Alligator mississippiensis: one gene and its partners. The protein of the gene in region 1 interacts with the protein of each later gene in a biochemical or structural test. Links are inferred from orthologs where the notes say so. Each region holds a gene or a part of one and is shown in the gene's direction. Other genes may lie near its edges.

Evidence for each region. The genes of interacting proteins can lie anywhere in the genome.
Region 2: the proteins of RASA1 (region 1) and ERBB4 form a complex in vitro, tested with the Homo sapiens proteins (2 studies listed by BioGRID and IntAct, with this or other methods). The link is inferred for Alligator mississippiensis from reciprocal best matches to the Homo sapiens genes RASA1 and ERBB4.
Region 3: the proteins of RASA1 (region 1) and DOK1 form a complex in vitro, tested with the Homo sapiens proteins (2 studies listed by BioGRID, with this or other methods). The link is inferred for Alligator mississippiensis from reciprocal best matches to the Homo sapiens genes RASA1 and DOK1.

Annotation. Positions count from the first base shown.
Region 1 is NC_081826.1:245,121,776-245,129,716, reverse strand, and holds the start of RASA1 (ras GTPase-activating protein 1), read left to right. Parts: upstream 1-4,930; 5' UTR 4,931-5,017; coding exon 5,018-5,370; intron 5,371-7,941. UniProt on the Homo sapiens protein: Inhibitory regulator of the Ras-cyclic AMP pathway. Stimulates the GTPase of normal but not oncogenic Ras p21; this stimulation may be further increased in the presence of NCK1.
Region 2 is NC_081827.1:179,024,796-179,031,750, reverse strand, and holds the start of ERBB4 (receptor tyrosine-protein kinase erbB-4), read left to right. Parts: upstream 1-3,950; 5' UTR 3,951-4,334; coding exon 4,335-4,416; intron 4,417-6,955. UniProt on the Homo sapiens protein: Tyrosine-protein kinase that plays an essential role as cell surface receptor for neuregulins and EGF family members and regulates development of the heart, the central nervous system and the mammary gland, gene transcription, cell proliferation, differentiation, migration and apoptosis.
Region 3 is NC_081825.1:325,310-333,179, reverse strand, and holds the start of DOK1 (docking protein 1), read left to right. Parts: upstream 1-4,865; 5' UTR 4,866-4,931; coding exon 4,932-4,994; intron 4,995-5,311; coding exon 5,312-5,608; intron 5,609-6,003; coding exon 6,004-6,115; intron 6,116-6,318; coding exon 6,319-6,491; intron 6,492-7,107; coding exon 7,108-7,870. Other genes in the region: protein O-GlcNAcase, read right to left, coding at 599-846. UniProt on the Homo sapiens protein: DOK proteins are enzymatically inert adaptor or scaffolding proteins. They provide a docking platform for the assembly of multimolecular signaling complexes. DOK1 appears to be a negative regulator of the insulin signaling pathway.

The DNA of each region.
Region 1 (7,941 bases):
AAATGTGTGGAACATGGTGAATTGCCTTTTAGCATCATTTTCATTTTCAAATGCAATGAGTGGGTTTCTTTTCCATAAGCCCACAGAAGTGCACTAATTTACTCAGAACTCACCCTGCTTTACCTGCAAACAATGTTATACTTGTCATACAGTTTTCAGAATAACAATTTACCAATACCTATGTAATGCTAGAACTTTCTCACCCTCTCCATGTGAAGTACTTTGTAGAAGTCAATGCATCATATAGGTATACCAAAATAACAGAAAGGAGATATTCAAAGCCAGATAACAAATGAAAGCTGTTTCCACAGACAACCTCTGTTGCTACAATTTTTATTGCTCAAAAGGTAACAAAAGGGTATGAAATACATCTGAATTAGAAATAATGAAAGTGTCTGAAAATCAAAATTAGGCTCAAATGAGAAAAAGAATGTTCAGTTGCATAGCAAAACTGTTTAAACATGCTTATTGAACTTCAGCAAAAGCTTCAAAACGTACATCTGACAATTTTCCTTTTCTGTCTTGCAAAACTAAGCCCCCACTACTAAACAATCACTCTACAGGGGTAGATGAGGGAATGCTTGTGTTATAACAGATGAGTAGTTTTTTCATAGTAGGTGACATCTCAGATAAGTTTCTCACAGATGAGAAGTAATGCTCAACTTCTTGGGCCCTGGGCTGCTGGTTCTAATCTTCATTAAAACTAAAAAAAGTCATCATCTGCTTCACCCTCACTATTCGCTCCCACTCTTACTGGGATCAATGTCTCTGCTTGCTTGTGCTTGTTCCCTCCTGCAGCCAACTGGCTGCCCTGTTGACTTCTGCAAATGCACAGAAAAATGCCAGCATGAACTAAGGAACTCTGAGACTTACAGTTCTTAAGAGACCATATTTCATAGGAAGGCATCCTACTCTCTCTCTCTCTCTCTCAAACAAGAAGTCCTAGAGTTTCAATAAAGAACTATCATTCCATTTAAGTCCTAGGAGTAGCTGTCAGAAAAAACTCTGGGAAAGCCAGATTTCAATTTTTTTAACTTTTAACTTATACTTTAAAAAAAGTTAAAGTTAACCTTTTTTTTAACAAGTTAAAGTTAAAAGTTGACAGCTGAAAAATTTAACTAGTTACAGTTAAAAATTAGCCATTTCTTTAATTTTTTAACTAGTTAATTAACTAGTTAATTCCCATGGCTGGAACAGATCATTAAAAAGAAAGACCAGAACTGACAACAGCAATAAATGTGATATAACATATTTTATATGGAATAGACATGCATGTTCTATACAGAAAATATTTCCTTCTTTCTACAGATTATTCAAATATAACTAAAGCATGTTGAAATGAGAACAGCAGTAGTTTTCTGTCACGTGAAATTTCAATGTGGCCATGGGGAAGGGCCATTAGAACTACTGGCCACCAATGAAAGCTCCTATAGATTTTCAAACATTCCAGACTTGCCCAGGAGTCCACCTTGTAGACTTGCTTCAGCACAGGTCTACATGCATTCATCAATGAATTTAAGCGACCGCATGAGGAACAAACTTGGGAAAGGGTAAGGAAGGAACGAACCTTCTGCAGTTGTGTCCAGGATATTCAATAAAAAGGTATTTTTGCAGATGTATGGCAGATGTCCAGAAAATATGGTTCCATTTGGTAGACTTGGTTTGCTTTTGATGATGACGACAATGATTATGTTTTCTCCCCAGGTACGAAGCTCATTTCTGTAATTATGAAAGTGTGGGTAATGGACCCTAAATGGTAGATTTCTATTGTTGGAAAATCTAACCAGAGTAGAAACATGGGGATGAAAGCACCAGCAAGGCCAAGGGGTTTAAACAAATTCTGTCCACAATATGTCCCCTTGGTACAGTGCTCATTCAGAGCAGGTTCGAGGACTGATGGAGCAACATACTGACATTAGCTCACTGTTCTACATGGGCCATACTTCTTGGTGTGGCTAATTAGCGCAGGCACCATGCTAATTCAGCCAGACCACTTCTATAGCTTTTATTGTTTGGGTATCTCTGCCAGTCTGCTGCATGGGTAGGTCAGACCTGGGAGAGTGGCATGGTTTGCCACATTAGAGAAGCACTGATTTAGCAAGCCTCACAGGAAGCCTCTTGTGGAGACCACATCAAAATTTGCATTTGCCCTCCCCATGCAAAACCCATGAGCTGTGCAGCCCTCCCCTGGACTGAATTCTCAGCACAGCACCCTTATTATGTCCCTAAGTTATCAGAAGAGGAGAATCTCAAAGAAGAGAGTCCTACAAATATTTATAGTGCATTAAAGTATCTAGGAATGACACTCCTACAAACACAACAACAGTGGATTTAAATAATTACATTTGAAAATCTGAGAGGGAAAATGAACAGTAAATAGAAACCCACAGAGAGACAATTGCAAGAAGATTATTTGAAATTACATGTACAATAATGGAACGTGTAACTATGGAAATTAGACTTGTAAAGGACTGCTACCGAGGCTGAAATTTTTTAAACACAAAAACAGCAGGACACACACGTTATAATCCTATAAATTCAGGACTGGAGCCAAATTCTGCTTTCATTTACACTGGCACAAATCCAGAGTAAATCCTGAGATTTTAATGGTGCAACAAGGAGAAGAATTTTGCTTTTGGAAGGAAAGATAAGAGAGTTCAGTGCAGCAGATAAAACGATGTTGGCTGGAGAGCTGTGGAAGGAGTATCAATTTGTTTCAGTTGCCTCAGGAGAAATTCACTTAATACTTTTGGGTAATGCAAAGCTTTGAAAACCTGAATGTTTAGATGCCTTTTAAGAACACTTGAGACACATGCAAGTGTCAAGGTGCTACTATTTGTCAGCTATTTTAATATTGCAAGTCAAAAGGTATCTACACACTATTTTGCCTGGAAATAGGTTTGTCACATTGGTCCTGATCTTGGAAGTACTTACATCTGTACACAGCTTAACTCATGAATAGTTCTACTGCATTCAATGGAATTCCTGGAGAACATAAAATTAAGTTTGGGAGTTAGTGGCTGAGGCTCAGAGCAATAAGTGAACAAAAGGATACATTTTTTTCAGACCGGTACCAAGGGAAAAGCTATTATTAATTAGGATAGTTGTGCATGCACCTCTCAGAGCACTGTGAGGACTACGATCCTGTCAGTCAAAAACCCACCACAACCTTGCTGTCGCTTTATGCATATTATGTTTACAGCAGGTATAGACCCTTTTGTGATATTTGCAGAAGAAAAAAGGAGTTGAACTTAACAAGCATTCATTTCCCCCAGGGGAGCACAGCTCCTCAACCTCAGTACTAGTTTGCTATTTGGTAGGCATGTCTACATGAGATGCTACTGTGCAGTGGTTACTGCGCATTTATTTAGTACTCATATAATCAAGTACTAAATAAGAGCATTTATACACATCCTTTTTTTCCAGTGATATGCCAGAGATCTGCTGCTTTTCCCAATGCTGACGCACATTTTGCTGCTCATACAATTGTATGCGTCACAGCGCTAGGCGCTTGCCCAGCGTTGCGATGCATGCATGCTTAAAAGTGCCCTAAATGTGCAGCAATGGGAGTTACTGTGTAGTAGTACCAGTGAACATCTGTGATGCTACTGTGCAGTAGCCTAATAATACTGCACTGTAGCATATTAGCATTGTTGGCACTGTGATGTGCTACTGTGCAGTATGATTTGACTACTGCACAGCCAGCGTCTCATGTAGCTGTGCCCACTGCCTGCCTCTACACAAGCTCTTTAGTGCAGGGTAGAGTAATTAGCTGTGGAGTAAAGCATCACCGTCTACAGGTGTGAGGGTAGCAGGCTGCAGTAAACTAATTTATGCTGTTCTAAAATAGTACTATCCAGGAATGTACTATCTTACACCAGGGTAATTCACTCTGATTAAGCACATGTAACCAGGGGCAAGAACTGCACCCTGCCAGGCCAGCTTGCTGGGGGCCAGGCTGCTGCCTGTCACCCTGCCAGAGGCTCTGCACTTCCAGCACCCCTCAGGAACCCAGAGCTGATGCCCTTCAGCACCCTGCTAGCGTGGGCCTGCTCTGCCATGCCTCAATGTGCTGCTGTCCTGGGCACACATGCAGACACTATACCCAGGAGTAGTTTACTCCAGCTCAAACTGCTCCGGAGTTTATTGCTTTGCATTAATTGCAGGTCTAGAGCACCCAGAGGGAACAGAACTACAGCCTGAAATGCAGAGGAAACAGCTGAATCCTACTAATTTGGGGCCTCAAAAAAACAACCTGGGGGCAAGCTGGATCTAGGGCAACCCAAATCCCAATTCAAAGGCACTTAAGAAACACGAGAGTCTGCCAGACCCAGTCAGAGTTTAGCCTCAGAAACCTCCCCCGCCGCCCCGCCTCTTCTCAGCCCTGCCAGGTGTGGACGCGCCCCCCAGGCCATGCTGCTGCGACGAGGGCGCAGCCCGGCCGGACACAAAGGGGCTGAGCCCGGATCCAGCCGCGCCTGGCGCGGGAGGGGACGGGGCTCGCGGCTCAGCTGTGCCGGCCCCACTCCTGGGGACTCCCCTGGCGCACTGCCCCTCTGCGGACGGGGGGAGCAGAGAGGCTCCAGGCAGAGCTGCCCCCACCCCAGCGCTGCGGGCGGCAGCGGAAGCCAGCGGCAGAGCGGGAGCCAGCGGCAGCGGCGACCGCTCGGCCTCGCCTCACGAGCCGCAGCGCATGCGCAGTCCGCCAGGGCTGCCGCCCCCTCCCCTCCCCTCCCCTCCCCCGCTGCGGTCCCGGAGCTGTGCTCGCTGCGGGCGGGCGGGGCGGGGCGGGGCCGGGCCGCTCTCTCCCGGCCGCTGGGGCAGGAGGCGGAGGCAGAGGCAGCCGCGCCGGGGCCCTGCGGAGCGGCGCTGCCCCCAGCCGGCCCGGGAAGCTGCCCCCGCCAGTCCCGGCTGCGGCTCGGCTCGGCTCGGCGCGGGGCGGGGCGGGGCGGGGCGGGGGTCGGCCCCTTTGTCACCTCCTCCCCGCGCGGCCGAGGGGGAGGGGGCGAGGCTCACCATGATGGCGGCCGAGGCTGGGGGTGAGGAGGGCGGCTCGGCTCCCGCCGCCGGGACACCCGCCGCCGCCGCCGAGCCGGGCCACTGCGCTGCCCCGTGCCGGGCCCGCCCGCCGGGCTCTCCCGCCTCCTTCCCCGCGCCCCCGGGACTTGCCCCGCCGCCGGCCGCCGGCCACGAGATGCCCAGGGCGGCGCCCCCCGCCCCGGAGACGGCAGCCGCCGGGCCGGGCTCCGGCTTCCCGCCGCTGCCACCGCCGCCGCCGCTGGGCGCCGCGGACGAGGGCGACTCGCTGGACGGGCCCGAGTACGAGGAGGAGGAGGTGGCCATCCCGCTCACCGCGCCCCCCACCAACCAGTGAGTGCCGCCCGCCCGGGGGAAGTGCGTGGCAGCGCCCGCGCCGGGTTGCAAGTTTTGCCCCCCCTCCGCGCCCGGATCCCGGGGAAATCCGCGGTCCCGGCGCCAACAATGGGCCCGCGGGGTGCGGGAGCCGGCCGCGCCCGGCCACGAGGGACGCCCGTCCCAGCCGCGGGCGGGATGAGCTCTCGGGAAGTTCCTCCTCTTCCCAGGGTTTTTGGGCCGAGCAGCTCCCTGCCTCTATGCGCCTCGGCAGAGCTGGGTGCTCCCGGGACAAAGCTCCGATGTGGCCGAATGGCTCTTTCGTGACACCCCCCCCCCCCCCTTTTTTTTTTTTCTTAAACAAAAAAGAAAATCTGCGGGTGACTTTAGTTTTCCTGAAGCAGGTGGGTGGCCTGCTGTCCTGCTTGGGGTCCCCCCCCCTGCAGCCAGTCTTCCTGGGGGCTTTAAAGGCAGGTAATAATGTGTAGCTTTTCAGCACTTGGAGGCAATTTTTTTGTAAATGAAGGCTTCTGTAGCCTGGCTGATTTGGAAGAAGTTCATATGCAGTTAGGTCATTTTTGAAAAGAACTGGGCTTCAGTAAAAAAAAAAACAACCCCAACCTCCTCCCTGCCCTCTAACCTGCCCCCCCCCTCCCAAAAACCAACCCCAAACAAGTGGTGGTTTGTAGTAGGATTTCACTATGTTTGCCTTTTCATTAGCTTACCATGGATTCCTTCAGTGCTGATGACATAAAGGACATCCCGGACAGTTGTTACAGGTGTCACTTATGTTCGATTTCCCGCTGCCTGTGTGCTTACACTTGGACATACAGTCAGAACTCGAAACGGGCACACAGGCAAAAAGCTTCTGGGTGTACTAATAACTTATCTGTAGGGCAACAGCTACCTTGGGGCACACAATGCCCTACAGAAAGACAAGTCTTTCAGGGACTGAAATAGTAAAGTTGGTATTTGGGTATATAAATGGATGCCTAAGTTAGGGTGAAGCCTCATATATCAGATGCATTAGAGGGGCAAGATGTAAAATGGGAATGCAGATTTGCAATGGCAAGTATTATTTAGATGGGTTCTGGCTGGATTTCTTATCCTGTGTGTTAATGGGATCTGGGAAGTGGTTTGGTTTCAGTGTTGTGTGTTATGTTCTCACAGTAGTTCAGTGTAAAATTCTTCTTGCATGTTTATGGGCTTTCATATTTTTAAAAGCTTTTTCCCATCCCCATTACTCCCCACTTCCCTGTCAAATGAGTGCAAAAAGGCACCCCCTTACTGATGTTGTTTTGTCTAGAAATAACATAATGTTTTCATAGCCTTAAAAAAAAATTACCTATTCATAGTCTGTTTTTCTTGCTAGCTCTGTAAGACTGTGTGTACTTTTGGGAGGGTTCGTGTCTAATGTTAATACAAAGTGGGGAAGGTGCTCCATCTCTTCAGAGGCAGCTTAAACTTTCCATGTTGCGAGTTTCTTCTTCCCAAGCTCAGGATGATAGCAGAGCTGCTGTACAAAAAAGGAGGGCAAAGATATGTTTTCACACACAGCTCTTTAACCTTTCCAGTCATCCTTGATTATGTTTTCTGTTTTTTATGACTCGATTCCTAAGAATAACGTCCTTAATGAAATAGAGACTGTTCAAATGTTTATGAAAAGCTATCCTATTCCTCAGACAGATCAAAATGTGAAGGAACAGGAGGGACAAAAAATGAGGGGAAATAGAGGCACTGGCAGGTGAGGTGACTTATGCAAGAGGACATAGCAAGTTAGTGACAGAGGTCTTGATTTCCTTTCCACAAGACCAAACTTCCTCTCTTCTGCTGCAAGAACTAAATATTGCATACTTCTCACATGGATGCCCAACAGATCTGTAACAATGGTTGATTGGGTGATTGTTTAGGTCAGTGACTACTCATGTTTCTAAATACATTTTATTGTGACTTATAAATGTGAATACTTTTTAAAATTCCGGTTGGAACACCAAATGTATATGCTAGCAGCGCAATTTTTATGCAAAGCCTTACATACTTTTAAACTACTTCAAAACAGTGAAGTGTCTGGCTTTTTATAAATGGATCTTATTGGAGGACTACAATAGCCACAATCTTGCCGTCTTTAAGCGCATACTTCAGTTGCATTCTTTTGTTAGATTACTCACATGATTAAAGCAAAGCATGTGGCCCTGATCTTTGCAGGATCAGGGCCAACATGTTGGGGTAGAAATGTTTAAGGTACTCGAAACATTTCTTTAAAGTATAAAAAAGGGATAGCTATTGAAAATGGGATAAATTTCCAGAGAGGTATTTCAGGAGTGATACCTGCCTCTGAATCTAACTTCATAATCATATTCCTGTTGTGTTTATTTTTTCCTGCTGCTGTGAGTGACTTGCAAGCTTGATTGTACAGGGGAAACCAGTGACACTGACATTTCACTAAAGAAATGGGCCAGACAAAAACTTTTTTGATTTGTTTCTGATTTTTTTTCAGTGTTTAGCTGCTTAAGTTTAACAGTAACTTTTATCCTTTCCATTTTGTTCTTTTTTTGTTTTGCAAGTGTTCTTCCCTGCAGTTTAATCGCT
Region 2 (6,955 bases), on another chromosome or scaffold:
CCGGGGAAGATCTTAGAAAAGTTTATTAAGGAGGCCATCCTTAATGGACTGGCCGACGCCAACATCTTAAGGGATAGCCAGCACGGGTTTGTTGCGGGTAGGTCTTGCTTGACCAATCTCATTTCCTTCTACGACCAGGTGACCTATCACCTGGACAAGGGAGATGAGATTGATGTCATATATCTTGACTTCAAAAAAGCCTTCGATCTGGTGTCCCATGATCGTCTCTTGGAGAAACTGGCCAATTGTCGCCTTGGGTCCCCCACGATCCACTGGCTGGAAAATTGGCTCCGGGGTCAGACCCAGAGGGTAGTAATTGATGGAAGTCACTCATCGTGGTGTCCTGTGACCAGTGGGGTCCCCCAGGGCTCTGTCCTTGGACCCATACTGTTCAACATCTTCATTAACGATGTGGACACTGGAGTCAGAAGCGGACTGGCCAAGTTCGCCGATGACACCAAACTTTGGGGCAAAGCATCCACACCAGAAGACAGGCGGGTGATCCAGGCTGACCTGGACAGGCTCAGCAAGTGGGCGGATGAGAATCTGATGGTGTTCAACGCCGATAAATGCAAGGTTCTCCACCTTGGGGAAAAAAAACCCGCAGCATCCTTATAGGCTCGGCAGTGCTATGTTGGTTAGCACTATGGAAGAAAGAGACTTGGGGGTCATCATTGACCACAAGATGAACATGAGCCTGCAATGCGATGCGGCGGCTAGTAAAGCGACCAAAACGCTGGCTTGCATCCATAGATGCTTCTCAAGCAAATCCCGGGACGTCATTCTCCCCCTGTACTCGGCCTTAGTGAGGCCACAGCTGGAGTACTGCGTCCAGTTTTGGGCTCCACAATTCAAAAAGGATGTGGAGAAGCTTGAGAGAGTCCAGAGAAGAGCCACGCGCATGATCAGGGGTCAGGGAAGCAGGCCCTACGATGACAGGCTGAGAGCCCTGGGGCTCTTTAGCCTGGAAAAGCGCAGGCTCAGGGGTGATCTGATGGCCACCTACAAGTTTATCAGGGGTGACCACCAGTATCTAGGGGAAAGTTTGTTCACCAGAGCGCCCCAAGGGATGACGAGGACGAATGGTCACAAACTACTACAAGATCGTTTCAGGCTGGACATAAGGAAGAATTTCTTTACTGTCCGAGCCCCCAAGGTCTGGAACAGCCTGCCGCCGGAGGTTGTTCAAGCGCCTTCATTGAACACCTTCAAGATGAAACTGGATGCTTATCTTGCTGGGATCCTATGACCCCAGCTGACGTCCTGCCCTTTGGGCGGGGGGCTGGACTCGATGATCTTCCGAGGTCCCTTCCAGCCCTAATGTCTATGAAATCTATCAAATCTTAATTCCACAACAAGTCACCAGAAAATAGGCTCTGTTCCCTAGGATGGACACCAGAGGAATCAGACAGATTTTAATTAGTGGTGTATAGTGGTGTAGTGAACTGCTCAAAACAATTTACTCTGATTTGTTAGTATTTGCTCTGTTTTGCTATGCTGGATTCATTTCTGATTTAGACCTAGTAGGAAAGTATAATCTATTCCAAAATGATACGGTACACTGTTCTGGTTTAGGTCCATCTAATAAGTATAGAAAGACTGGAATTGCCAATACTAGATCAGATTGGTGGTCCATCTAGCTGAGTCCCATCTCTAACAGTTGCTTGCCATCCACCTGGCAGAGAAGGCGGCTCTGGCTGGGGGGACCCCGGTGATTTGGGGGCTGTCTTCCAGTCCCTCATCTGTTCACATCTCCAGGCAAAATTATACTGGGCAGTGTCCACAGGCTCCTTGGATTCATTTCAGGGCTAGTGGATACTGTCTGGTGTGGTCCGCTTGGTGTCCCTGCTTGGAGCACTTGTTATTCACCTTTGACCCCCACTTCTGTCCCTTTTTTTCACTTTGGTTGCCCCTAGTATTCAGCTGTTGCATGCTTAATAGCTCCTTCTAACAACATGGGGGTAGCAGTTTCTGTGTGGGCTCCAGCCCATTGTTCGTTGTGCAGCAAGTAGGTCTGTCTGTATCAGTAACTGCGCACTAATTTACAAGCTCTCATATATTCTCCTTATTTCTTCACTTGTGCCCCTAGAGTCTTAACAGAGTAAAAGTCTGAGTCCCCATATGCTTGACGGTAGTCTAACACTACTGAGGAAAAGCAACAGGAATACTGTTGTGGGATGATGACTGGGTCAAAGATCAGTAACTGGACAAAACACATTTATTACTGCACTTCTAAGACAAAACCAGATACCAGCAAGTTGCAGCTAGGCATGCCTACAGGCATACATAAAACAGGCAGTAGACAACTCAAGAGGATGAAATAATCATCAGCCTGAACTGTGAACAAACTTCAATGCTATCTTAAAGTTGAGATGAGAAACACCACTTTGCTCCTTCCCAGTGTTCAATTCCTTATAGAGCTAGTTTCCATTTCTTTCCCCTCCTCCCCACAAGTCTGTAACACTTCAATGGCCCACATAGTATTATTTTTACACGCCCACAAATTCTATCCAAAATCAATGCGAGGGCATTCAGCTCTAGTTAAGATCGGGCCATAAAAGTGACGGCCGCCTTCTCAGAAATTGCCTTGTTCTTTTGATTACATCGAGCAAGCTCTGTTGCAACCAAGCCGTGCTCTGAAATGCAGAATACTGAGAGATGCCCAGCCCTGGGGCACTGACGGTTTTCATTTAGTGGTGGCAAGGGCCCAGCAAAGAGGTTGCCTGAATCATGTGATGGTGCGCAGGAGCGGTTTTCAAACTTAAATCCTGGGGGGTCTGCAGGAAGCCACCAGCGGCTTGGCAGAGAGAGTGGGGGTAATGCCAAAGTGGGCTGGGCAGCGTGCTGCCTTTGCCAAGCCAGGTCGCCTGACTCCACATCAGTCTTTAGGATAGGGACTGAAGTGATAGGAAAGGGTTCCCTGACTTGGGGAAGTTTGATAACCGTTGAAGTATCTTTTTCTTCCAAAAACAGCAACAACAAAAATCTATATAAAGAGGAAGAGAAAGAGAAGGGGGCTTTCTAGAGGGCTGGGGTTGGGGGTGAGGGGTGGAGGTGGAGAGTGTTTTCAAAGCTGCTGGCTGAGACCCTGAAACACTAGGCAAGTTTTGGGAGTTTCCAGCCGGCCCCTGTGCCCACGGGCAGAGAGAGCTGGTAACTGGTCAGGAATTGCCGAGCGGTGGGTCTCTCTCTCTCCTCCCACCTCGTGTCCAGAGCGCGCCTCAGGTTTCCCCTGTGCTGCCGGCCCCTGCCCGGGACCAAGTCCTGCTGCCTCCCAGGCTCCTGCTTCCGCTGCACTTTCCCTTTCAGTTTGCTGCTTGGAGGGAGAGTTTTATTTGGGAACAAAAAAATCCCTTTTATTTGGAAAAATACCCCGACACACACACACACACTCGCCCCCTTCCCCGCGCTGCCCCCCCACAGCCCAGAGTCACATTTCGGGGTGTTGGTCTGACCTAGTTCTTTGGGGAAATGCGCTTTATTAAACCGGCTCAAACTCAAGCTGGAGCCACGTTCGGCCTGTTGTTCTTTGGAGGGATGGGGTTAAAATGAAAAACGAAAAACAAGTCAGGCACGGGCTTCCCGCCTGAGCCCTGCGCGGAGCGGGCCCGGGGCTCGGCTCCGGGTGGGGGAAGCACAGGCCCCCTCCGCCGCCGCCGCCTCCAGCCCCGCGGGCGGCAGAGGAAGCCCGCTCGCAGCGGCGGGGGCCCCCGAAGTCGGTCAAGCGACGCGACTGCCCCCGCCGAGCCGCTGCCTCCGCCCGCCGGCCCGCCCGCCGGCCGGGGGTTGCGGTGCCCGGCGCCCGGGCGGTGACAGGTGCTCCCGGGGCGCGGGGGCGGGGCGCGCGGTGCCAATCCGAGCGGGGGAGGCGGGGCTTCGCCCCCTGCTCCAGCCCCCTCGCTCCTCTCGGTGCGTGCCTGCGCCTGTTTGGGGTGGGTGGGTTTTTTTTTTAATGTATTTTTTGGGTGGGTGTCTCGCTCCTCGGTGCGGAGCAGCCGGGCGCCGCGACTCCATGGCACTGGCGCGCCGAGAGCCTCCTGCCACCGCAGCCCCGGGCCAGGCGTGAGCGGGAGGGAGGGAGAGAGGCAGGGAGAGGGGCGCCGCCGCCCCGGAGCGGAGCGGAGCAGCCGGCAGAGGCGAAGCGGCGCAGCCGGGAGGCGATCGCGGCTCGGAAGCAACTTTTCTCCCCGGAGCCCGGCGGGGCAGCAGCGCCTCCCGCCCCGCACCAGCCCCGCGCCCCTCCGGGAGGGGAGGGGAGGGGGCGCGCACAGGGATATGCCATTTGGACCATGTAGTTGCCACCCCGGGAGCTGAGACGTCGCCCGGCCGCCGACATGAAGCTGGCCAGCGGACTCCTTTGCTGCCTCTGCTTCCTGGGGAGCTGCGGGACCCTGCAGCCCGGCGCCGCTCAGTCAGGTGGGTGGCGACGGCACTCGCGGCTCGCGCCCTCCCTCCCAGCCCCGCACCTGCCGCCGCTGCCCGCGCAACTTGCTCGGGGCGGGACGGGGGAGACGGGGGCTCTTCCTTCCCGGCCCCGTGTCTGCATTTTGGGATGCTCTGGGCCTCCCCCTCTTCCCTCGCCCGGCCCCGTCTGTGGCAGCGGCGATCGTGATCAGGCTGATGATGATGATGATGATTTTCGTGGCCGTGGAGGAGCGCTCGGCCCGCTCCGCTCCGCGGTCGCGCCGGGTCCGGGCCGCGGCGGGTGGGAGCGCCCTGTCCCACCTGCGCGCGGGGCAGCCCCGCAGCCCGGCCGGGGCCAGAGCCGGGCGGGCAGGTGCCCCCCGAGCCCGCCGGCCTTGAAGAGAAGCCCCCTCCCCACCTCCTCCCTTCTCTCCGCCCCGGCTGCCGGAGGGGCTCGCAACTAAGTTGCTCCGCGGCGGCCTCGGCCCCTCCAACTTTGCGGAGCGGGGCTGAGCGCTGCGGGCTGCAGCCACCTCCCGTTGTCGCTCTCGGGGCCGGGCCGGTGCCGAGCAGAGCTGGTGATGGAGAGCGGAGGGGAGGGGGAGGGGGGCAGGAGCCGCCAGACCTGCCCCCCCCCCCTCCCCCGGGGCTCTCCTAGCAGGCATCCGCTCCCAAGATAAGGCCGGGGGTATTTTTTTTAACCAGGGAATGAGCAACAAATGCACCGACCACCCCGGCAGGCACGGGGCTCCTTGTCTTTGCTCCCACCGCCAAGTTGGACTAGGCAGGAAAGTTGCCTCCGGCCCCTTCACCCGCCCACCTCCCTCCGCGAGGCTGGCGGCTTCATTGCTGTTAGTGTCGACATGACATTTTCCGCTTTGCTCTCCCCCAATGTGGAGCAGTGGCGCCCTCCCCATCCCAGCCGGGCTCGGGGAGGACGAGGAGGACCCGCCTCTGCCGCCGCCGGCCCGGGCCCGAGCCCGGCCCCCGGGAGCGCGGGGGCTGCGGGAGCCGCGCGCAGGTGGAGGCGGCGGAGCGGGCTGGATGCTCCGCGGAAATGAGGAGCCAGGGAAGCCCCTTCCCAGTCCCAGCGGCCTTGGAAACCTCCTCCAAGCCAGCCCCGCCGCTGGGGCAGGGGGGAGCGGGCCCCAGTGAGCACGCAGCGATCCCCCCCTCTCCCTCAGCAGCAGCTCGGAGGAGTTTTGTTCTGGTCCAAATGAGAAATGAAGTGCGGAGAAGTAAACTAAGCTGCCAGAGGGCGACAAGATGTTGAGTGAATTGCTTTTAGATGAAACAAATTAAGGAAACGAGGGGAGACAATCTGCTTCTCGCATTATTAGACACGCTCGGAGTTCAGGGGAAAGTGGCGGATTTTTGAAATGCTAATTTCTTTCCGAAGCAGAAAGGATGCACCTTATTTACTGGTCTCTGTGACCAGAATAGAAATGCTGTTGGAGACCGGGGGGGGGGGGGGGGTTATTTTTATTTATTTATTTATTTTGGTCACCTATATGGATCTTTGCTGGGGGGCAGGGGTTCCATTATATCTCTCTGCAAGGAAAGCAGGCGTCCATTTCCCTCTGAAATCACTGCTCGGCTTCCAGGTAGCCCCTTGGAAGCTTTGTAAAAGGGGATGTCCCAAGACAGCTTTCTAATATCACCAGGACCAATGCCATTTACATTTCAAATATCACGGTTTCCCAGTGGAACAGTTCCTGGGAAACAACTCTCCTTTTGCGTTTACACAGAAATAGTAGCATATCATATCATCCCTTCCTTCTGCAAAATAAAGACCCCCACCCCCTTCCCCTGTAATGTGTAGGATGGACAGAGTCAAGCCATGTAATTCATAGTCTGCAAACAACGTGGCAGGCTGTTTAACTTAGATCTATGCCTCAAGCTTTTCTTTCACATATATTCCTAGGTGTGTGCAAATATAGGCAAGTAAAAAAGTACATAGCAGAAAGACTGTTTACAGGTGAAACAGAATAAGGTAGCGGGGTTAAAAAGCAAATAATAAAATAACGTGTTTTTCACCATCAAAAGATTCTCTGCAGAGAAGGAATGCCTTGAGCCAAATCTCCTTTAGCTGTCTTCGGTGGTCCTTGAAGTGTTCGTATATTTAAGACCATTTCAAGCTGAAGAAGCCTTCAGTTGCTGATGTGGTTTCGGATTTTACCTCACTGAATAGAATAATGCTGTTTACATTTCCCAGGAAAATGTTGCATTTGTATACCAAGACAGTCATGGGAACATAATAACAGCTTGTTGGATATCTTTTCTTGTGGAGTATTGTTTTTTTGGTTAATGTTTAAAGCATTAACAACAGGATGTAAAGCAAGAAAATCTGAGAGATTTTAAATTGTGCAGGAATGATGAAGTTTGACCAATGTTGTGTGTAGGCTTTTGGGTTGGCATGCATTCCTGTTTTTATATAACTTGGTATTCAAGCTATGATGAAAAAGAATTGAAATACTTTTATCATTGTTTCAGGGGAATGCATTTTATGTTTATGCTTCCCAACAATTAAAACATGGCTTTTTCTGCATAT
Region 3 (7,870 bases), on another chromosome or scaffold:
ACCGGTCCAGCCCCACCGGGCTCAGGACCTGTGTGGGGATGACCCAGCGTGCCGGACACGATGACTGGCCATGCCAACCTGACTGGCGCTGCATGCGGTGCTGCACAGCTGGGCCTCGCCACACCATCCCGTCGCTGCCCGGGGCCGGTGCCAGCATCCATCTGCGGAGCCCGGGCAGACCCTCACTGAGATGTGCCCGCAGGCAGCAGCTGGGGACACGCTGGGGCCACAGCCCCACGCGCTGCCAGGCGGGAGCAGGGCAGGGGCAGGCTTGTGCCCATCCTGGCAGGGGCTCGGGTCGGCCAGGGGCCGTTCTCTGCCTGCCCTGACCAAGCGCAACCCAGCCGTGGTCCTGATCCAGAGGCTGCACTCGCCTCTGGCCTGTCTCCCTCCCTCCACTCCTGCTCCCATGTACCCGGCAGTGTCTGCAGCAACCCTGACTCCTTTCCAGAGGCACCGCTTGCCTGGGTGCAACCCCCAGCGCACACATGTGCACACTTATGTGTGTGTGCACACGAGGCAGGCCCAGCCAGCAGCCTGGGCCCTGGAGGAGGTATCTCTGGGCCCCAATGCCCCTCATGCTCGTTGCTCTGCCCACCTCCGCGGGCTGCTGTGGTGAGGACAGATCAGATCCTCGCTGGACAACACCAGCAGGAGCGCGTCCGTGGCATGGGACTCTCGCCGGCCAGCAAAGGCAGGCGGCGGGGCCCTCAGGTTGGGGGCCAGCTCCAGCGGTGGCTTTGCCCTGCCTTGGCCTCCGGGCACTGGCACAGCCCTCCCCACGTTGCCGTCAGGACGCCACGGACCCGCCCCTGTAGATTCAGCGCAAAACCTGGGGCCTGGCATGTGGCAGGTGGGCAGACCTGTCCCAGGGGCCCCCACCCCATCCCCCTGGAGCACCTGCTCTCCATGGCAGACCCCAGCCCGGGCTCAGCATCCGGCCATGGTCCCAGAGGTGAGGGGGGCTGGCCAGTACCCTCTGGCTTGGGCCTCCCAGGGAGGTGTTCATCGCCTGGTCACACCGTGGCTGCCATCCCCATGCCCCTCCCAAAGCTACTGCAGCACCCCCCTGCAGTGACCAGGATCACCCCATCTCTGGTGAGCAGCCCCCCACGTCTGCAGCGTGGCCGTCATCACCCCCCACAGCTGCAGCGCACCACCGCCCCCTGCTGAGCGCTGTGGGGACCAGGACCTGGGGCTGATGGTGCCATGGGACCCCGCTGCACCCACAGCTCTCGGGGGCCTGTGCTTGAGGGCGGCTTCCCCTCTCCAGTGAGGCCTGCCCTGGCCAGGCTCTCACCAGGCAGGACACCTGCCCCCCGCCCTGGGGGCTCCCGGCCCATCGAACCCCTCCGCAGCCCACCCTGATGTTGTGGGCCTCAGCCTCAACTCCATCAGCTCCCTTATGCTCCTGCTCCCATTGCCTCCTGCGCTCTCCACGGTGCCACGTGGTGGTGCCAACAGCCATCAGCCATGTGCCCCACCAGGGGTGGCTCCCGGCACGGCCTGTGTGGCACAGCGTGGCCCCTCCTGCTCCCTGCTGTCCCAGCACCAGAGACCCAGCAGGCTGAGCGACTAGTGACTCCACCGTGGCCATTCCTGTGTCCAGGGCCCAGCCCCGGGTGCTGGCACCAGGACTGCATGCTCCGGCAGAGGCCACGTCTGGCTGGGAACGTGGGCCAGCGACGAGGTTGGAGCCCTGAGTGTGGAGGCAGCATCTCACAGGTTTCCATGTTGGCGTGCTGCAGGGTCCAGGCCCAGTGGGGCTCCCAGCTCCACCACCCATGCTCACCCCGGGAAACCCTAGACCCTTGGCACCACCCGAGCCAGTGAAGGCACCATGGTGGGATGCTTCACTTCCGACATACGACTGAGCTGGATGCACACCTGGCCATCTGGCCCCCAAACTGCTCTGCCCCTCAGCCCACACTGTAAGGGACCCCCTTGGTTCTCCTGGGCCCAGGCCGGTGCCTTGCCCACACCCACGCAGCTGGGGGGAGCTGGGCACGGCTGCCCAGAGAGAGAGGATGTAGCGGGGGAACCAGGGAGGATTTGGAACGGAGCGCTGTGCCCTTTCGCCCAGTGCCACGCTTGTGGTGGCGAACCCCGGAGGGAGGGAGGGTGAATGGACACACGCAGCAACAGGTAGCTCGAGCACCCGTCAGAGCTGCACGGGAGATGGCATCTGCTGCTGCCGCTGCGCAGGCTCCTGCGGCCTCTCGACGGAGCGCACGGACCAGGGCCTCCACGCCGGCGCGCAGGGACTTGCCATTGGAAGAGAAGCTTTCTCTGCTCCATGGACCACGGTCTCCCATAGAAGCCTGCGAAGCGAGACAGAGGACAGGAGTTGGACGCGGGCACATGCAAGCCCCGCACACAGCTCCCCTGCCCGCGGCTGCTGTCCCGGCGCTGCCCCTCCCATGGCCGCAGGCTGTGCCGGAAGCCATCTGGTGAGGCACGTGGCTGGCGGCCGAGGGCACCACCACGTGGCACTGAGGAGCCCCGGGCATGGACACACGTGGCACCAGGACTGCTTTAAACCCAAAGTGGACAAGCCTGTTAATCTGGTTTAAATCCACCTGGAATGGTTCAAAAGCATGCCTGGAAAACCGAATGCTCTTCTGAACGGGTTCACTGCCAACTGGGTCCACGTGATGTGTGGACATCAGGTGTCACAGGACGTGGGTCCAGTCCGTCCTACAGGCATCCCATGTTGCATTGCTCCTCACTCCCACACACACACAGGTGCAACAGGCCACTGGTACACAGCAGAGCTCTGCGCCTGCCTCTCTGCTGCCCTTTAGTGGCACTTTGTGTGAATACGCTGCCTGGCCAAGCGACGCTCTTCCCAGCACCCAGCGGCATCCGCCCCCCGCGCATGCAGCCCCTTGCCCTGCGCCCACCAGGCCCCGGGAACCCCGGCACTGGGTCGGACACCACCCCTGCCCACCTCTTCAGGGGAGAAGGGGAAGCAAAGGGACAAGGCCCCGGGCCCAGCCCCGGTGTCAGCCACTGTCCCGTGTGCACCTGAAACCTGGCCCCTGCCGTGGCGTTAGGCAGGGACGGGTGCAGGGCTGCACCTTCGTTTCCTGCTCCACCCCCAGTGGAAACCCAGCCCGGGCTGAGACTTCACAGCTCACCATCATCTCCCTGCTAAACCCTTCGCCCCCCGGGTGCTAACCACCCTGTCTCCTTTCTAGCAGCCCTGGCGCCCCAGCAGCATAGTCTCTGCCGTTCCTGTGCGCAGCCCCGCCACTCTTTCTCACTCGCTCCAGCAAAGTCCTATTTGGTTTGGCTTTGCTCTCAAGCTGGATCGCGCAGCGCTGGGCCCGGCACGACAGCAAAGCGCTCTTGGTTAATGAGAAAGGCACGCGGCTCTGTGCAATGATGCATCTCGCACCCCCCACCCCACCTGCCAGGGGCTCGCGCCCCGTGCTCCCGGCGGGTGCTCTGGGGCACCGGGGACGGTGTCACGTAGGAGGGCGGGCTCCATGCCCAGGCAGACACGCGGGGGCGGCTGGGGTGTCGGCAGAGCGTGGCGCGGCTCTCCCGGGCTCCCTGCCAGCCTGTTTCGGAGGAGCTGGGTCTCCATGGCGACGGCTCCTTTCCTCCGGGAGCCTCCACCGGCCCCGAGCGCACCCGGGCCGCGGCCGCGGCCGCCCTGGACGCCGGGGCCGCCTCTCTGCTCCGCACGGGCGTGCACGTGGCTCACACTGACCCGGCGCCGCGAGGGCTCGGAGCCGGCCGCCACCGCTGACACCTGGCACGGCCGACGCCCCCCGCCCTGCGTCCTCCGGGGTGCTGTCAGCCCCTGCGCAGCCGTCCAAGGTCCGGCGCGGCTGGGCGCACGAGCCCCGGGCCCTCACCGGCGGTGGCAGGGGCTTGGGCCCAGGCCAGGCGCACAGCGGGGAAGGACGCGTGGGGCTCTCCAAGCCTGGATGGTCCCAGGCACCTTGCAACCATGCACCTGCACCAGCTGCCCTGGAGCCACGGGCCCGAGGAGAAGCCCCGGAGATCGCTCGCCCCCTTCCCGGACCGGGCCCTGCAGAGGCCTGCGTGTCCGCGCCCCCCCCCGCCCCGCCCCGCCCCGCCCACACGCGGCTTCTCCGGCCCCGCGCGGCTCCTGGGGCTGGTGCCCGGCCCGGCCCGGCCCGGCCCGAGACCTGCGCCCCGCAGCGCCCGTGCCACCGGGCCCAGGCCCTGCCGGGGGAGTCCGTGTCCCTCGCTCTCTGCGGCGGGATGGTCCGCGGCGGAGCCGGCGCTCTGCCAGAGTTTCCCCGGCCCGGCCCGGCCCGGCCCGGCCCCACGCGCCTTCCCGCCGCGGGGTCACGCAAGCCAGCGCCGGTTTGTCTGCGCGCCCGGCCCCGCGCCCGGCTCCAGCACACGCAGACACAGACGCCCCCGACACGGCGCCCGGCATCGCTCCGGGGTGCGGGGGCCGCGGCCGCCAGCGTCCTGCTGCTGCCGGGGGGGGGGGGGCTGCAGCGGGCCGGGCTGGGCCGGGGGGAGGGGAACCCCCCGTGCGCACCGGTCTGAGCAGCGGGATCCCCGCGTGCCTGCCTGCCCCAGCGCGGCGCGGCGGCGGCCCCCCCGGCCCGGCCCGGCTCGGCTCGGCCCGGCCTACCTTCCACCACCCCGCACAGCGGGCCCGGCCGCGCCGACATCCCCGCGCCGCGCCCGGCTGCGGGACCGGGACCGGGACCGGGACCGGGACCCGCCCGGGGGGGCGTGTGCGTGTGCAGCCCCCGTGGGAGCCCGGCGCAACAGGGCGGGCGTGGCCGTGCGCGTGTGCACGCCCCTCGCACGCGCGCGAGCCCAGGCCCCGCCCCCGACCGCCCCGCCCCGCCCCGTCCCGCCCAGGCCCCGCCCCGCCCCGAGGCGCGGCCCGGGAGCAGGAAGCGCGGCGCGGCGGCGGCGGCGGCGGCGTTGGGATGGACCCCCCGGCCAAGGAGGGGCAGCTCTACGTGCAGCACAGCCTCAAGTTCGGGGCCAAGGTCAGCGCCCCCCCCACACCCCCCGGGGTCGCGCCCGCGCCCGGCCCCGCCCCCCCACCGGACCGGGACCGGGGCCGGGGCCGGGGCCGGAGCCGGGGCCGGGGCCGGGCGCCCTCCTCCCGCCGCCCCCTTCCCGCCCGCGCTGGGCCGGGGGCTCCGCCACGTGTCCCGGGTGGGCCCCCCCCTGGCTTGGGGAAGCGGGTCCGGGCCGAGCGGAAGAGCCGTTTCCTCTTCCCGGCGCGGGCGGGGGGAGGCCGTGCGGGTCCCGGTGCAGGGTCCGGGTCTGAGCCTGAGCCTTGCGGTGTCGCGTGGCACAGCGCTGGAAGAAGAGCTGGTTCGTGCTGTACCCGGCCAGCCAGCACGGCGTGGCGCGCCTCGAGTTCTTCGACTGCAAGGACCCGGCGGCGCCGAGCGAGAAGCCGGGCACCAAGCGGCTGGACAAGAAGATCGTGCGTCTGGCCGACTGCGTGAGCGTGGCGCCCGCCAGCGAGAGCGGCCCCAAGGATGGCACGGCCACCTTCTGCCTGGAGACCAGCGACCGCAGCTACCTCTTCGCCGCCCAGAAGCAGCAGAGCGCCGAGTGGGTGGGGAAGCTGTGCGAGATCGCCTTCGGGGTGAGCACGGGGGGTGCCGGGCCCACGGCCACGTGGCCGCGCTGGGGCCAGCACTGCCACTGCTGCGCCCCTGCCCTTCCACGACAGCCGACCCGCCTGCCGCTGCCTGTGGCGCAGCATCATCCCACGTGGCTCCCGGCTCACGCTTTCAGTTCTGCTTGCGGTTGGTCCGGAGGCGCCCGCCCCCTCCTGCCAGGCTGGGGCATGGGGAGCGAGGAGGGCATCCCCGTCTGCCGGCAGCCCTCGCTCTGAGCTGGTCCCGGCCAGGCCCGTGGGGAGCCGGGGCCACGGCCCACCCATGCTCTCGGGGTGGGGGTGTGTGGGGGGCATGGGGAGCCCTGGAGCTGGCAGGCCCCTGGCGTCGGGTGCTGAGGTCCGTCTCGCTTGCTCGGCAGGGCAATGCGGGCGGCGAGGGCCGGCTGCCGGGCGGGCGCAGCGCGGAGGGCAGCGCCGCAGCGCCTGCCCTGGAGATGGCCGTGAATTCCATCTACTACTCACGGGACGAAGGTAGGGCTGGGCTGCTTGACAGGGTCCTGCGAGGGCAGAGCCCCCCAACCTGGGGCATCGCCCCCCGCCCTGGGCCGTGCCTGGGCTCAGGCCCCCGTGCCCGCCTCGGGGCATCCTTCGGACGCTGGCTGTGCCCCTCTGCGCAGCGCTGGGGTCGCCAGCCCTGCCAGGCCCCGTGACTGCCCCGGCTCCCCCTTTCACAGTGAACAGCTTCTGGGTGACAGTGCAGAGGACGGAGGCGGCCGAGCGCTGTGGGCTGTACGGGACCTACCAGCTGCGGGCAGAGCGCGACGGCCTGGCGCTCCGCGACCCCCAGACGAAGGAGACGCTCTACGTGTGGCCCTACCGGCTGCTCCGGAGATATGGGCGTGACAAGGTGGGTTGCGGGGCAAGGTTTGGGATACCCCGGAGTGAGAGAGGAGGTTAATAGACTGATGAACCAAGCCCACCGGGCCTGGCTACTCCTCTGCACTTGCCCCCTCAGTGTCCATCTCCTGGCCCGTGCTGCACATGCTTCCCTAACAAGGTGTTGCCAAGGCCTTGTGCCAGGGCCCCCGCCTGTCCACGTGACCCCTGCCATGTCCGCTGGCAGCGCACGGTCTCCTCACACCTGCTGCCCCCTCCATCATTCCCAGCTGTGGTGCAGCCAGACCCTGTGTGCTGCGTGGCCCTTTCCCACCCTATGGACCCTGACTGGGTGGGAGGAAGTGGTCTGGGAGGGAAGCTGTTTATAGCAGCAGCAGTGATGCAGCCTGTCTGCTTCCTCCTGCCTTGGCCGGAACCAGGCAGAGGCGGGTCTGCGCCCCGGCGAGGGGCTGGAGCAGCTGGCGGAGGGTGGGCGGGGGCCGAGCTGCCTTGCAGGCACCTGTGTGCACTCAGGCCTCTCTGTGGGTGGGCGGCTTGGTGCTGCCCCTCTGCAGGTGGCTCTGCTGGGCGCCAGGGGTCAGCCGGCAGCAGAGCGGGACTCTGACCTGAGCTGACCTGCCCGGCAGGTGATGTTCTCCTTTGAAGCTGGGCGGCGCTGCAGCTCCGGCCCCGGGAACTTCACTTTCGAGACCAAGCAGGGGAACGAGATCTTCCGTCTGGTGGAGGCGTCCATCCGGGAGCAGAAGACGCTGGCGGAGGAGCACCGGCAGAGCTGCGACTCGCTGGATGCGGACTGCCCCAGTGTCATGCAGATCCGCAGCACCCTGGCCGACTCGCTCAGCCTCGACCTCCCAGCCGAGGGCGACAGCCCTGCAGGCCCCAAGGCCGGGCTGGCTCCCCGGCTCAGCGCCGCTCCAGAGGAGAGGGACGCCCTGAGCCTGCTGAAGACCCGGAGCCTCCCGGAGCCCCCGATGCCGCAGAGCAAGCCTGCGCCTACCAGCACACCCCCGCGCTCCCCGCTGCCCAAGGTGCCCCGGCCTGTGCTGCCCTCCGAGGACATGTCCAGCCTGTACTCGGAGCCCCTGGACTCGGTGAAGGGCCCGCGGCTCTGGCTGGACCCACTGTACTCAGACCCCATTGACAGCAAACTGGGGGCTGTGGGTAGCGCGCCGGGGCCGGGGCCAGGCTCAGGGCTAGGGCCGGCCCCACGCTGCAAGGAGCACATCTATGACGAACCCGAGGGGCGGGCGCCACGACCTCTGCCCGACACCATCTGCATCTACGATGAGGCACGGCTGCTGGGCGAGGCCTGGCGCACGCAGGGCCTGGACGACCGGGATGGCTACGAGTTCCCCTACAACCCCAACTCCGACTACTCGGTGCCGCCCA